Linked DNA regions of Drosophila melanogaster. The protein of the gene in region 1 interacts with the protein of each later gene in a biochemical or structural test. Each region holds a gene or a part of one and is shown in the gene's direction. Other genes may lie near its edges.

Region 1 (8,623 bases):
TGAATGATCAGGTTGATGGCCTCGAAGAGCACGGCGTTCTTTGCGTTAGAGTGCTGCACCTTCTTACTCTTTGGCGGCTCTTGCGCCTTGTTCAAAATCGTCTCCAAAGTTTCATTCAAGCGGGCCCGCACACCGGCCTCTTCGGTCACTGGATTGTAGTTTTGCAGCAATCGCAGAAGTTTCACCGATAGCCATGGAGCCGGCACAAAGTAATATGTGTAATCCTGCAATGCGAATTTAGTTAGTAATTAGAAGTTTCTTACCTTAAAAAATGCATTAAATCGTACCTGAAGATCCGTGTAGCTGGCTGTTACGATCCGGGATAAGCGTGAAACAGCCAAATTAACACAACCCTTGTACTCGTCCGGATTGCGCTTCACCAAGGCGTCGATCAGCGAGGTGGCCGCTGTGACCACTCCCATGTGCTGATCATTGAGCAAATGGATAATGCGCGAAGTCCACTCACCACCGGGAATGATGTCCGGCGAGGAGCGGAACAGGCGGAGCAGGCATAGCGCCGCCGACTGCTTCACCACGTCCATGGTGTCGCCCGAGACGAGTAGCTTGGGTATTTCGTTGGAAAAGGACTCGGCCATATCCCGACTTCCAATGTTGGCAATGCATTGTAGTGCCAGATTAACGTGCACAGGATTACGCGACTGCAAATCATTCTTTATAGATTGGATGATCAGCCGAATAAGGTCGCTGTTGGTGTTCACCAACACTGAGATGAAAAGGTAACCCTAAAGTTCAAAAAACAGATTTTATCAGTAACATTAAATTTAAAAAACCAATTTTTTAATTATTTTTATCAAACTTCAAACAACGACAAGTTAAATTTAATTGAATGAAATTCCCTTTTCCCACAAGCAGAGTCGTCTGCTTTCAGTTCAATTATTTCGACTCGCTAAATAAACAAATGATTATTGAAGCAATTTTTTGGGGTACTCACAATCTGCTTTTCTGAGTATTTGTTGGAGGACAGCAAATTGACCGCCTCCATGTGCCCGAAGTCGATGTCATGGCCGAGGAGAAATATGAATAACAGCTTACAGACATATTTCTTTTTCTGATAGCCGTCGAGGGTTTTGTCTCCTTTAAATTTGCTTCGTATATTGGCCAACTCCTTGTTTATGCGTTTGACTTCGGCCTCTTTGCTTTTGCCTGTGGGCAAATGGGTGAATATTAGTATAGAAATTTGTGTCTTATGCGGGTATAAGGGAGATTCACAGTAAAACAACAGTGATTCGTCTGCGGAAGCTTCGCTTTCCTTTCCACCCCGCGATTGATCGATCGGAGAGACGACTTCACACCCTTCAGCTCTCTCCATGTCGCGGATTTTCTCCGATTCACATAGGCGTCAATTAGTACCAGTCACCGATCCGCAGCGGAACCTCTGCTCTCCTATATGTTGTCCACAAACCAGAAACTAGTAACCGAGCATACAGCAAACAACGAGCTGTGATAATAATACCATACAGTGAAGCGTCGGACTCTTGCGCACACACATATGCACGCTTCGAAGTACTACAGTAAGTCATCAAACTATCAAAATTGTAAGTATTTATTAATACTGAGAGGCAACCGATTCACATTGATATAACTATTTGCTGTGTTGTACCCATATATATAACTATATATATAACTTTCTCATATCTTTCTAATGTAACGACTACGAAAACATTTACATAGGAATGGAGAAGAAAAGTAGCCAATATTTTGTAATTCATCTGGCAGAGAGCTTACTGTTCCTGCGTTTTTGTACCGCCCCACGTTTTTGTCAGTGCGCTGCTCCTGGTAATTGATCAAGTAATGGCGCTGATTCCGCCCCTATGGAAAATCTCTTGTTGCGACCCGCTCAATTGGATTTAATGCTGGTTACCCAAGAGATCTGCACTTACAGTTCCTTATATCCGATATAAAGACGGCCAGGCCTCTCATGCCATCCCCCCGCACCGGCGCCATGGTAGTTAGCTTGTTAATTTTCGCTGGTTTTATGCAAACTGGGGGCGCAAGAAAATCGTCAATGGATGGCGGCCGAGTCTCGAGGCGTTCTTATCGCTCGAACTCGACGTCGGACCCTAAGATATATAGTTGCTCTCCGCTCTGGTTCTGCAAAGCTCTTTTTACTTCGATTGGATCTCGGCCGTTCCTTGGGACCTGAAAGGGGAAACGATACTCTATTTATTGTGGGTTGTGGGAATGGGAAAACTTAGTATTATGATTACGTTTTAGTATTTGTGTTAACAAACGTATATTATTCAAACAAAAGGTATTTTGGATAACAATTTGTATTTAGCCAGGGAGTAGCTTATTGTGCATGCCAACACATTGATACAGCTTCTATTTTGAAAGTCCGTATTGCAGTTTTACTTTTGATAACGAAAACGCCACAAAATATGTATGCACCACACATTTCACTGAGCATCAAGCGCTGATAACGATTTATATGTATAAAAAATCCAATGTTTAATAAACTCAGAACTTTTAAACGGTAAATAGTGGACTACGTGATTGATTTTCCGGCCAGTGCACCCAATGGCTGGCGAACTTTGACATTTTCTGGTGGAAGTAGAGTGTACCCCCGCATTTTTGGCAACCGATTTATTTTCAACTTGGCAGCGTTTTGCCCGTTGATAAAGATTCTGTGACCTCGCTCGCCCACTTTTTATCGCCTGGCGAAGTCGATGTGCACTTGGGCATTATTATTTGGATTTGCGCGACCACCGGCTTTTGTTTCTGTAGTATACTTTTTACTTTGCTTTCCGTTTCGTTTTATTTTCTGTTTTTCACTGCGCTCTTCGGTTCTCTTCTTTCTTTGCTTTCATGTCACGTCACTTTTTTCACCGCTGGATGACGAGGGCGTTTTGCCCAAAAAAAAAAGCACCGAAGAAGCCTCCAAAAACATTAATGGGCGTATGTTAGCTGTTCTTTTTTTTTGAGCTTACTTTTCCGATTTTTTTTACTCGCCAGCGGACAAAATCGGTTAGCGTTGCGGAATTTCTGTGGCGGAGCAGAGAGAGTAATCTCTGACTTCTGAAGTTGGCTTCGCTTGGAATCGGAATCCGGGGTGTTGGCTGCGGAATGTTTGACCCTGCGTGTTGCACTTTATGGAACTCCAACTCGCTGGAGCTTCGCCTCGCTGATTTGCCGCTAATTTGTTTGTTAACTATTACCAAGTGCAGGGCAATTCACTAAAATGAAAATTTCTATTGATTTTTCTTCGCTCTCGCTGCCTAAGAGTGGAGCCATCTAGCGGGCGCGGGTGGAACGATTGGTGTGACCAGTAGAGCGTTGGGTTGAAATACAATGATTACTTCGAGGGATGGGTACACAGGGATGGACGAAGAGAGACGACAATTCGCTTTAAGAATTTTTTACCTTTTGCTCCAAGCAGAAATCCAAAAATATCTTCTTAATTGTTTTTATGGCTAATAAATTTCCGTTCTATCCTTTAAGGTAACGCTTGGTGCAATACAAAAATATGACTCAAATTTGATTAAGTTGTTGTCAAAACTTGTGACGTCACAAAACACAAGGCTGCGCAACCTCTCGCAGCGCACACCTTGAGATTACTCCGCCATTTTTTTGCGCGTTTCAGAAACGCGTTTTCGATCCCTCGGTTTTATTTGTGGAAAAAATATGTGAAGTGCTCTTGCGGCAAGCAGCAAACTGGCAGAATTGAAAACACAGGACCGACCAGATCGATCCAAGTACCAGGAGTAGCACCGGATACCGTGGCTTGCGCCGAAGTGATAAGCGTGCCGAATGCAGACGCATGTGTTACGCAGCACAGTTCCGATTTTCGCACCGTAAAAACATAATTGGCATTGGAGATAGGAGTGGATTTTGGAGTGCGCTAGTAGTAGGAGAAGGAGCCAACCGCGTTCCGTCATGAGTTTTTCCAGCGACGAGGTGAACTTTCTGGTTTACCGATACCTGCAGGAGTCGGGTGAGTAAAACCCTCCAATCGCAAGATAACAGCCCGCCCTAATCTCATGCAATCCCGTTTTCTAGGCTTTCTGCACTCGGCCTACGTGTTTGGCATTGAGTCACACATCTCGCAAAGTAATATCAATGGCGCATTGGTTCCACCTGCCGCTTTGCTCACCATCCTGCAGAAGGGTCTTCTGTACACTGAAGTGGAGTGGAGCGTAGGCGAAGACGGCGAGGTGGCGCGACCCATTGAAGGACTCTCTCTAATAGACGCTGTCATGCCGGAGGTGAAGCCACTCAAGCCCATTGTGAAAACAGAGCCGGGAAAACCCGGGGCAGTCGACTCTTCTGCCCCTGCCGGTGGCAACCAGAACAACAATGCCAAGCCTGAGATAAAAATAGAACCGGGTACCGGAGTGGCGGGCTCAGCAGGTGGAAACAAAATTGCTGGCAGCACCACGGGCACAAGCACACCAACCGATCAGTCGGCAAGCGAGGTAGACTCCAGTGGAAATGCGGCAAATAATGCTGGCGGCACATACGCCGGAAACAATGGAGCTGGAGGGAACCAGGCCAGTACTGGAGGATCTAATAGCACAAGCACACCAGCTGGTGGAGATTTGGCAGCACCTGGGGCAAGTCAAAAGAAATCCCAGAACTCGAATGAAGCGGGAAGCTCATCTAGTGGCAATGCAGGCAATGCAAATGCTACCAGTACCGATGATGCAGCCTCCTCAACATCCACAAATGGCAATAGCAGCACTTCCAGCAGCGTAGAACAACCTACAAGCGGGCTGACGCCCGCTGGTGGAACTGTATCAACCTCCAATCCGGACGCAGCAGCATCGGGCGGAGCTTCGACTGCAACAGGATCAAAGGCGCCAAGTGGAGCGGTTACGATTCGCGTAGGAGCCCAAGGAAACAACGTGCAGTCTGGTTCGTCCAATGCTCAAAGCTCTGCTCCCAGTGGAACCATCTCCTCGTCTACCAGCGGAGGTGCTGGGACTCCCGCAGCTCTTGTTCCCATGGACATTGACGAGAACATCGAAATACCCGAATCCAAGGCTCGTGTATTACGCGGCCACGAAAGCGAGGTGTTTATCTGCGCATGGAATCCTAGCCGGGATTTACTGGCAAGCGGTTCGGGAGACAGCACTGCTAGGATATGGGACATGTCCGATGCAAACACTAACTCCAACCAGTTGGTGCTGCGCCACTGCATCCAGAAAGGCGGCGCTGAGGTGCCTAGCAACAAGGACGTCACCTCTCTGGACTGGAATGTAAGTCGAAGATCTTGGCACTTAAGCCTTGCAAAGTTTGATTTCTGATCCTTACTTAATCTATTCTCGTTTTTGCAGTGCGATGGTTCCTTGCTCGCCACCGGCAGCTACGATGGTTACGCCCGAATTTGGAAAACCGACGGTCGACTTGCTTCTACTTTGGGACAACACAAGGGTCCGATCTTTGCTCTGAAGTGGAACAAGTGCGGCAACTACATCCTCTCGGCTGGCGTGGACAAGACGACGATCATCTGGGACGCATCCACGGGCCAATGCACCCAGCAATTTGCCTTTCACAGTGCTCCAGCCTTGGATGTGGACTGGCAGACAAACCAGGCCTTTGCCTCTTGCAGTACGGATCAGCGGATACATGTGTGCCGGTTGGGTGTAAATGAACCCATCAAGACCTTTAAAGGACACACAAACGAGGTGAATGCAATCAAGTGGTGTCCGCAGGGCCAACTGCTGGCGTCCTGCTCTGATGACATGACCCTCAAGATCTGGAGCATGAACCGAGATCGTTGCTGCCACGATCTGCAGGCTCACTCAAAGGAGATCTATACGATAAAATGGTCGCCCACGGGGCCGGGAACCAATAATCCAAACACAAACCTGATCCTCGCATCCGCTTCGTTCGATTCCACGGTAAGACTGTGGGACGTGGAGAGGGGCAGCTGTATCCACACGCTCACCAAGCACACAGAGCCAGTCTATTCGGTGGCCTTCAGTCCGGATGGAAAGCATTTGGCCTCCGGCAGCTTCGACAAGTGCGTACACATTTGGAGCACGCAAACGGGACAGCTAGTGCACAGTTACAAGGGCACGGGCGGAATCTTTGAGGTGTGCTGGAACTCCAAGGGCACTAAGGTGGGTGCCAGTGCCTCCGACGGTAGCGTTTTCGTGTTGGACCTGCGAAAGTTCTGATTGCCGGAGCAGCCACAACTGGATTTCGTGTATTGAGCCAACGCTTAAAATAGTCAAGATTCCTTTTCCAGCTCATTATTTGGTAAAAATGAAATCGGTAGTTTTTCACTTTCTTACGGAACGAGAAGTTTTTACTTTTGATTCAAAAATTGCATTTAACTATATTTTTTAAAGAAGTGAAATATGATCAGTTACAATTCTACCAACATAAGTCGATTTGGATCTGGAGTCCGGACCTTAGGTAACTCCTTTCTTAGCTATCCCGCCCTGCAATCGTATTTGTAATTGCTTTAAATTCTAATTAGTTCTTTAAGGTATACCTCTTGAGATGAGATCCTCCCGCTTTTGTCCACGTCTATTTCGTACGCTTAGTTTCGAGTCACAAAATATCGATATGCACCTGGGATTTTTGGGGGCTTCAACATGGTTGTTGTTCTCTTCAGATCAGCGGGATGCGACTCGCCTCATTTTAATCTTAATCATAAGCTCCATGTTTCTAAGGTCGTCCCTTTTTATACGAAAATCGTTTAGTATAACTTTGCATTTTGTTATTGTATCGATCAAAGATGCCAGCCAACTCCCCGCCCTCCCCACCAAAAGTCCTTTACCCAATTCCACAGTTGTCCTCCAAAAAAGGGATGCCAAGAGATCAGATCAGACCGATTCACGCATACATTCAGAACAGTGTAACTGCAGTCCCACGTAGTCAGTAATCGAACGTAATTATTAAGAACACGAGATTGGCGGAAACACAAGAACATCAGCAAAAATACATTAAAGATAAAAATTAATCTGTTTTCGTTTTGGGCCTGGGTGTTTTTTGTATTTTAGCATTTTAAAATTTAATACTAAAGTACTTAAATTAAACTTTATTCTTTGTAAATATAGATACTCCTGAACTTAATTTTATTTTCATTTGTTGCTAAAACTCCATGACACTTTCCAGATGGCGTTGCTTAAAGAAGCGGCACTCCTCGCGAATTATTTCGCCGGATTTTGTTGTGCCCTTAAAGAACTTTGTGAGCTTGGTGCCGGCGTACTTGGGCTTCTCGGAATCCGGCTCGTCGAACTCCATGTCATAGGCCTTGTCCGCCAGTGCGTTTTCCGCGGTGGACCAACTGAAGCGCACAAGTCGTGGAAATCCAAACACTAGATCGATGTACTCGGTCAGAAATCTTCTTGTGACCGGATCTCCCGGATATCCACTGCCGAACTCGTTGTCCTTAATGACCAAGCCCTCGGGGAAGCTCCACACCTTGAGGGCATGATCACGGGTAACTTTGGCGCATATACTAGCAGCAGAGACTATTGGATAGGTGGAGTCAGCTTTTTTCGCCACGGTGATTTTAAAGCTGGGGAAACGTTTGAGCAACTTCTCCTGGTACTTCTCCGGCGGACCCACCGTATCCACATAAACCTCGGCTATATTGACGCCCGCATCGATCGCCTGTTGGATAAGGCCCATGGCCGAGTCCATGGAAACTTCGTTCAGGGAGCACTTCGACCGCCGGTACATGCTGGTGCTGATCGTGTTCGGCGATATGATCTCCACGGCCCAGCCAACGCAACTGGTCGCATATTCCTTGGTGTTGATATCGTTAAATATGATATCACGTTTCCCCTCGGTTAGTTGTTTGGAATCGGCGCATCCCAGGTCCTCTAAAGCCTTGTTACTTTCCAGTGGACAGTAGGAGATCCCATATACCATAGGTCCCAGGACGGGACCACGCCCTGCTTCGTCCACGCCCAGCATGCACGGCTTATCCTTGCAAATATCCGGAACATCGCTGAGGTAAACCGTGTTGCGGCTATTCTCCTTGCCGGCTATAAATGGACCCAGGGCCTTCAAGGAGCTTATTTTTCCGCTGTCCTTAAAATCTACATCATCGGGCTCTTCGTCGTTCTCATCAATATTTTCTATACATTTTTTTTCTTTTTTTACAACTACGTCTTCTTGGTCCGACATTTTCGCGCGCTTTTTTTTTGTTTACGTTTAAACGACGCTATGGGCACACTAATTGTATACATAAAGTTGCAGTGTGACTCATTCGTCATTATACCAAAATATCTTTTTTTTAATATTCTCAATAACCGTACGGAAAGGTCTTTTATTAAAATAGAGAGATAAACATATAACCAGAGAATTATGCTAAGGCTTCTGTCCAAGATGCTTAAAAATAAACTAGTTTAAATAAGAGATAATCTCGGCAGTTTGAACGAGTTTTCCTCTACCTAGTATTTCCTGACAATAATATGCAAATTTTCATAGACGGTTGGTATTTTTCTTCGTCATCGGCGCGGTCACACTGCATATCAACTGCTCTTTCCGGTTTAGGATTTTGACCAGCGTGCTTGTTCTCGTCCCGAGCTAAGGCCATTTGTTATAAACAATTAATTTTTGGCAACTTGCACAATCAGTGATTAGCCACAGCACTTCGACATGTCCACCAAAGCCGAGCTCGCCTGCGTCTACGCCTCCCTCA
Region 2 (6,118 bases), on another chromosome or scaffold:
GTAATTGTCTGTGGGCTCCATCGAAATTAGTTTCCAAGCTAATGTAAGCTTGCGAAACAATAAAATGGTGTGCAAGGAAAGATCAATGGAGGGTATGGCGGGTTATGCAAGCCAATTTTTCACCAGTCGTATAACTTGCTCAAAGCTATCCCCATACTACACGCTTTCATAACAGAGGGTCCACATATGTAGATATGTTTAAAACCAAACCTAACTAACCGATTGTACTTAAAGAAAGCGATTAAGGCTTCCATTATCAGCGTATAAAGAGAGAGATAACGGCCTTCCTAGACATGTCTTATCTGTCGCCCAAGTCTGGTCCCTCAATCCTTTTCCACTATCAGCGGTGCCAAAGTCAAAGAACTCCCATATCTATGCCAGATATATAATCTTAGATGCGGGGAACTGTTGCCGTTTCCCAAGAACACGCATTGATTGACGGTCTTTCCCATGCATGCCTAATGATCCTTCAAATGGGCCCTAATAACGACCAGCCCCCCTTGGGATCGGATCAGGTAACGCCCCGTCCCGGGGGTTACCCAAAAAGCGACACGCTCCCAAGACCCATCAGGCAGTTGACCAGTGGGTTACGTGTGCCATCGTGCACAGCAAAACTAGTGTATAAAGTTTATATTATCTAAGGTAGCGATATTTTCTAAAACGTAAAGAAACAATTACGTTGCAAACAATTCTCTCAGTGCAGGGCAACCCCAGCAACAATTATTCAACTTAAAGTCGGTGCAGCGGGGAAAACATGGAATCATTTCGGTTTCAGTTAGAAGTGTGCGCGAGCGTTCTCGAAAGGGGCGCTGGGGGGCGGGGCAGTCGGTGGGAGGTTGAGCGAATAAGAGAGTCGAGCATACGAGGCACGCTTTTCCGATCAAACCAGTTTGTCGTAATAGCTGGCATTTGGAATTAGTTACTGCCGATATATTGCTGCACTTGGAATGCGCCCAGATAGAAATTCCCGCACCACGCCCCTCGGCGACGATCCTCCCCTTTGAATAGAGAGTTGACTATTTTTAGCGGGCACCAGAACTTCATTAAAATACAATCAATTTGCAAGTGCAGCGCGGAGAAAATAACAAACAAGCACCAGCCACCCACTCTCTCTTTCTCCTCTCTCTCCCCCCCCCCCTCTCTCACACTCTTCCATACTCCGGTGTTCCCAAAGAGAGCGGAGAGATGGCATTTATGCTGAGCAGGCACAAGCAGAGAGGTGAAGATGGGACTGAAGAAGAAGCAGCCGCTGTGTCGGCAGAATGAAAACGAGGACGACCAAACTGCATTGTTGTCATATTTCGTAATACGCTGATGCAGCAGAGAAGCGAAGGGGTGGTGGGCGCAGAGGTGGAGCAGCAGGTCACGGCGGTGAGAGAGAGCGAGAGCGCAGGAGACTTGTTTTCAACACCAGCTTATCAGCGGGAGAGCGCGAGAAGAAAGAGCATAAGGGCAGAGCGCCAACGCAGCGGCGAAATGGAAATGTCAAGTTGGGACTGCGCTCTCCCTCGCTCTCGCTGCCAGCAGCGGCTGCGCTGTTCTCTTAACCATTTGGAGCCCCATTCAAATGTTCGATTCTTGCCATTCCATTTCGTCCGCTCATCCGTCCACATCCACTTGCGTTTTTGGTGCCCTGCGAGCGGGAGAGCAATGTGAAACGGGAGCACTACAAATACCGCCCACTACCACTACCAATTCCCATACTCCCATATTCCATGCTATTCCCAGCTCAGTTCGTGCCGTGTGATCAAAGCTTTCGGTAAGGCTTCGGCTCGGCTTTGTGTATCCACCTTAGCGGCTCTCTGTGGTGCTCGTTCTGCCTCTCTCTCTCTCTCGGTTTTGGGGCTCAGCTCAGGGACAACAAATGCGGTAAAATGGCTTCTGCGTCGACGTCGACATCCCTGCCGTTTCAGTTCTGATTGGAGGTTCGTGCGCGGCGTTTCCTCAGCTGATTTCTTTGCCTTTTGCCTTTTCGCAACCCGCTTTCGGCTCCGTGTTCGCCTCGGTTGCCAATTACGTGTAACCAACAACAAGAGAAGAAACAGAAACAACAACAAGTACTTTCGAGTGTTGCAAGCCTTCTTCCGCCGAAGAAACCGCAAAACGGATTACCAAGAATATTTGTAAAATTGGTAAGTGGTGAGATTATCCACGAAATAGTCTTCGAAAAAGGTCAAATCATCAAGTGTTCAAATTTAAACGACAAGTTTAAGTATTCTTATTACCTTCTTAAGACTTATCTTGAATCTCAGATGAGGATTTTATTGATTAAGATTCAAAAGTTCTTTAACTGGCTTTTGTTTCTGGAGTCCGTAGTGATTTTTTTAAAGATTTGAATGTTCACTGAATTATATTTTTGGATTAGAATCTAATCACTTTAAACAGGACATCGCAGGAGTCGAAAACAATTGATGACAAAATCAGCAGTTAATAGCTTTTGGATTACAGAATTATAGCAATAAAAGCCTGACAAATTGGCCAAGGGTCGTTTTGGAAATCTAGCAGTCTTAAAAGCCTAGCAGATACATTTTCTTCTAACAATTTCCCGCTCACACGCTCAGTACATGCACCAACACACGCCTATTGGAAAGACGCTTTTGTATCCAACTTATACAGATAGTGGTACAGCCACAGATACAAATGCACACATGCCGTATACGGCACATGGGGAGTAATGCCGCCACACTAGATACCAGATACTAGATACATAGATTCGTCCGCCGCTTATTTGTCGGTCGTGCTTCAGTGATCTCTGTCATTTGCAGTTGCCCATTTCCTTTTTTATCCCCCACTTCCACATCCAGTCGTCATTCGCCCGGCGCACCCCTTTTGATCACTCTTCCAGTTCCAGTGCCTTCTGGTGGCTTCCAGTGGCTGCAACACTTGCGGTGTTTTTCTGAATGAACCAATGGAGTGAATGTGTGAATGAGTAATCCATGTACGCAACATGTTTGCACTGCACAAATTATTTGGACTCAATGTATTGATTGTGTAACTCGGCTTTACGTTTATTTAATCGCAATAACTAAAGTGAGCTACAACTCTATACGTTGGTTACTATTCTTGGGAGGAAGGAAACCTGACAACCCTGGCCAAGGGGCAACTCTACACTTGCACCTGTGCTCCACGCTAAGCCACAAATTCAATTATGCAAATCAAGATCACAGCCCAAAAAACACAATCTTCGTCTCCGATCTGCATTTGTCTTTGTATGTTATGTTTATTTGTTACTTCTGTCGTTGTTTTTAATTCGCTAACCCACTTCACACAGTGGCAGCAACAACAAAAATCGTGAATTATACTTTGTATTGGGGCGAAAAGGAAACGAATGCCCAGTCTCAGATCACACATAAATTTTGCGGTTGTTTTGTTAATGAAACGACAAGAGCAGCACTATGCGCTCTTTACTATATATTTCCCGCTCTCCGCGAAAGCTTTTCTGTTTGTTTGCCCCACACACACAAAGACACTTGTGAACACCTTGCGCTCACTTAACATTATGCTCGAATTATAACTGTTGTTTAGCCGGCGATCGAAACGGTTAAAGCAGCAATGAAAGAGGGAAAAGAGAAAGAGGATGACATGACTAACAACGCAAACGCGATCTGAACATATGCATTGTTGTTTTCGCTCGTAGAAACCCATAAAAAGTCGAAACAGTAAAAGTCCAAGCGGCGTATACGCAATATCAGCGGGGGATAGGAAAAGGCAGAACTCTCTTATCTATTCTTCTCTCACTCTCCCTTAAGTACACAGGGCAAGAAATGTTAAAACATTTTTAACAAATAATGATTGAAATAATACAGGAAATTTTTCCGGTGCATTGGTTTAGTGCACGTGACTCTTTCACAAATTCTACTTAAATGTATCTGCCATCTTGCGCCGATTTCCTGCCCCTTTTTCGTATTCAACAATTATTCGGAACCAAATTTGCACAATACATTCCTTGATTATTGTTATTTAAAATGATTTTATATTTATTTATTTCATTCGCAAGTGCCAGCTGCCATGCTAAATAAATGTCTGTTGTGCGCGGTTTCCCCGTGTATATTCATGTGGTATACCTTTTCATCCACACGATACTCCTTTTCATATTCTGGGGCTTGTGGCATTACAAGTAAATGAAATTTTTCTTGAATGCATTTCTGATTTGAATCACCTTCGCGGAGAACGCCAGGTATTTCGCTTTCGGGGTTCTGCTGCCCCGATTGCCCATCCTGATAGCATACAAGTCGCGCGTGTACCCCATATATCTCCTTTTTTAATTAGCAATCTGCACAAAAACTCCGACTACTGCAAAAACCTAAATTCAAAAGTGGAACACAAACAAAAAACGCTCAAAAGTCAGCAAAAAAATGAGGAATCAACGAAAAATACAAGAAACAGAAAAGGTCAGTGACCAAAATATGTTTTGTAACTCAGGCAGAAATCTTCGCGAAAAGAGAATGGGCCGAAAAAAGCTAAGCAAAAGACGGAAACCAGAAGGCAGCAGTGGTAACCCTCCAGATATAGTTACAGTTGCCCAAAGATCATAAATTTTTACTTACATGGATATCAAAGATTCATAATAAATTTAAAGAACAATTACCAAATAAAACCTAATGTTATTTCTTAAGGATTTCTAGTAATTTCCGGACCCCAAACACGTAGTTAGGCTTATTTCACAATTTCCGCCTGCTGGCTGAAATTAAATATTTTTTTTACCGTTTTAAGCCTTTTGCAGGCCTTACAAGCATACATACGCATGCACTATAATTCAATTAACGACGTCGACGCCGCTGCCGGCGCAGCTCAATGTCCGCGTCAAGTATACGCCCTGTGGTGCCTGAAAAACTGAAGAACTCAAAAATCACTCACCCACACAATCGGCGGTGGATGTGTTCATCTGCCAGCCGTTTCCTATTTTGCATTCTTCAACGAATGGCAGCCACAAAAGCGAATTTCAAAAAGGAGAGCGGATGGCCAGGCATTTGACTTAAGGCTGCGAACTTATAGTACGCCGCTGTGTTTGTGCGGGAAAAGGCAACATCAGCGAAAAGAAATAAACACACAGAGGTAGACAGCACACTACGAAATGCAAATGAAATGTAATTGAAAGCAGCGCTGCCAACGCCTCTGCTACCCTTAAGCTTTGCCAGGGGACGGTGTCCGTTCCGTTTGTCCGTGTGTGGGACAACCGGAGGTTGGGGATACAAGGCGGGCACAGTGGAGCTGTGTTCAAATTCCACATTGCCCTTTTTGTTTTCATAATTGGACTTACAATCAATCTTGAAGGTTGTAGCTCAAAACAAATATACATTCCTGACAGTCCTTACAGAAATTCCGTTGAAATTCCATGTTGAGCTCAAAACGATAATATGACATATAAGCGTCCAAGAAGTACTGAGATTTATCATAACTATTATGCCAAATCCTCAAAAATCCTTTTTACCCAAAATCATCGCATATGCCCCACTGTACCGCTCGCAGGGAAGCAAAGAGCACATGACAATAAGAAAAAAGCTGTGTATATTTTAATCCTCTCAAAGAGGATTTTTCGATTGCGGCCGCCGCTGTTGGGGCCATTTGCACACGACACCAGCAGCGTGCTTCCCAGGGCGAGTGAATGGGGGTGAGGTGGGGTGGTGTGGTGTGGGTGGTAGGCGGAGGAGGAGAGGAACAGGCGAACGGGGAAGACAGAAAACGAGAAGCCAGCAGAGATGTTTTCCTCGTAGCCTTCAAGGAGCGCAGACGAGGAAAGTCACCTCTAAAAAGCAAGCAGCACGCAGATATCCCCACAAAACGTCGCAGATACAAGGCACACACAAATAAAAAGCACACACAGATACTCACGCACACGGGCGGACAGTGGGCGATAAGCTTAATTGAGTGCGCAGCGGTGTGGGGGACGATGGGTGGTGGGTGGTGGGAGGAGGTAGGAGGCGCAGGAGGAAGTGGAAGTGGAGACTATGGGGATGGCATTCGCACACATACCATACCACAAAACGGACGCACACACGGCAGGAGAGCAAGGAGAACGCTATCAAAAAAATTTAAGAAATTAAAAAGTGAAATATATGGCGACGCCGACCGCGGCAGAGGCCCACGAAACGCACGAAGAGAAAGCAGCAGACTGCGT

What was found. Proteins that work in one complex are often made in the same cells at the same time.
Region 2: the proteins of ebi (region 1) and ttk form a complex in vitro, tested with the Drosophila melanogaster proteins (one study listed by BioGRID).

The regions. Positions count from the first base shown.
Region 1 is NT_033779.5:411,495-420,117, forward strand, and holds ebi (ebi), read left to right. Parts: upstream 1-3,572; 5' UTR 3,573-3,894; coding exon 3,895-3,952; intron 3,953-4,017; coding exon 4,018-5,216; intron 5,217-5,294; coding exon 5,295-6,140; 3' UTR 6,141-7,042; downstream 7,043-8,623. Other genes in the region: AP-2alpha (adaptor protein complex 2, alpha subunit), read right to left, coding at 1-224, 288-743, 953-1,164, 1,231-1,330; CG13690 (uncharacterized protein), read right to left, coding at 7,063-8,106; RpLP1 (ribosomal protein LP1), read left to right, coding at 8,581-8,623.
Region 2 is NT_033777.3:31,712,138-31,718,255, forward strand, and holds the start of ttk (tramtrack), read left to right. Parts: upstream 1-1,729; 5' UTR 1,730-2,132; intron 2,133-6,118. UniProt on the Drosophila melanogaster protein: Binds to a number of sites in the transcriptional regulatory region of ftz. Isoform beta is required to repress inappropriate segmentation gene transcription and repress genes incompatible with development of photoreceptor cell fates.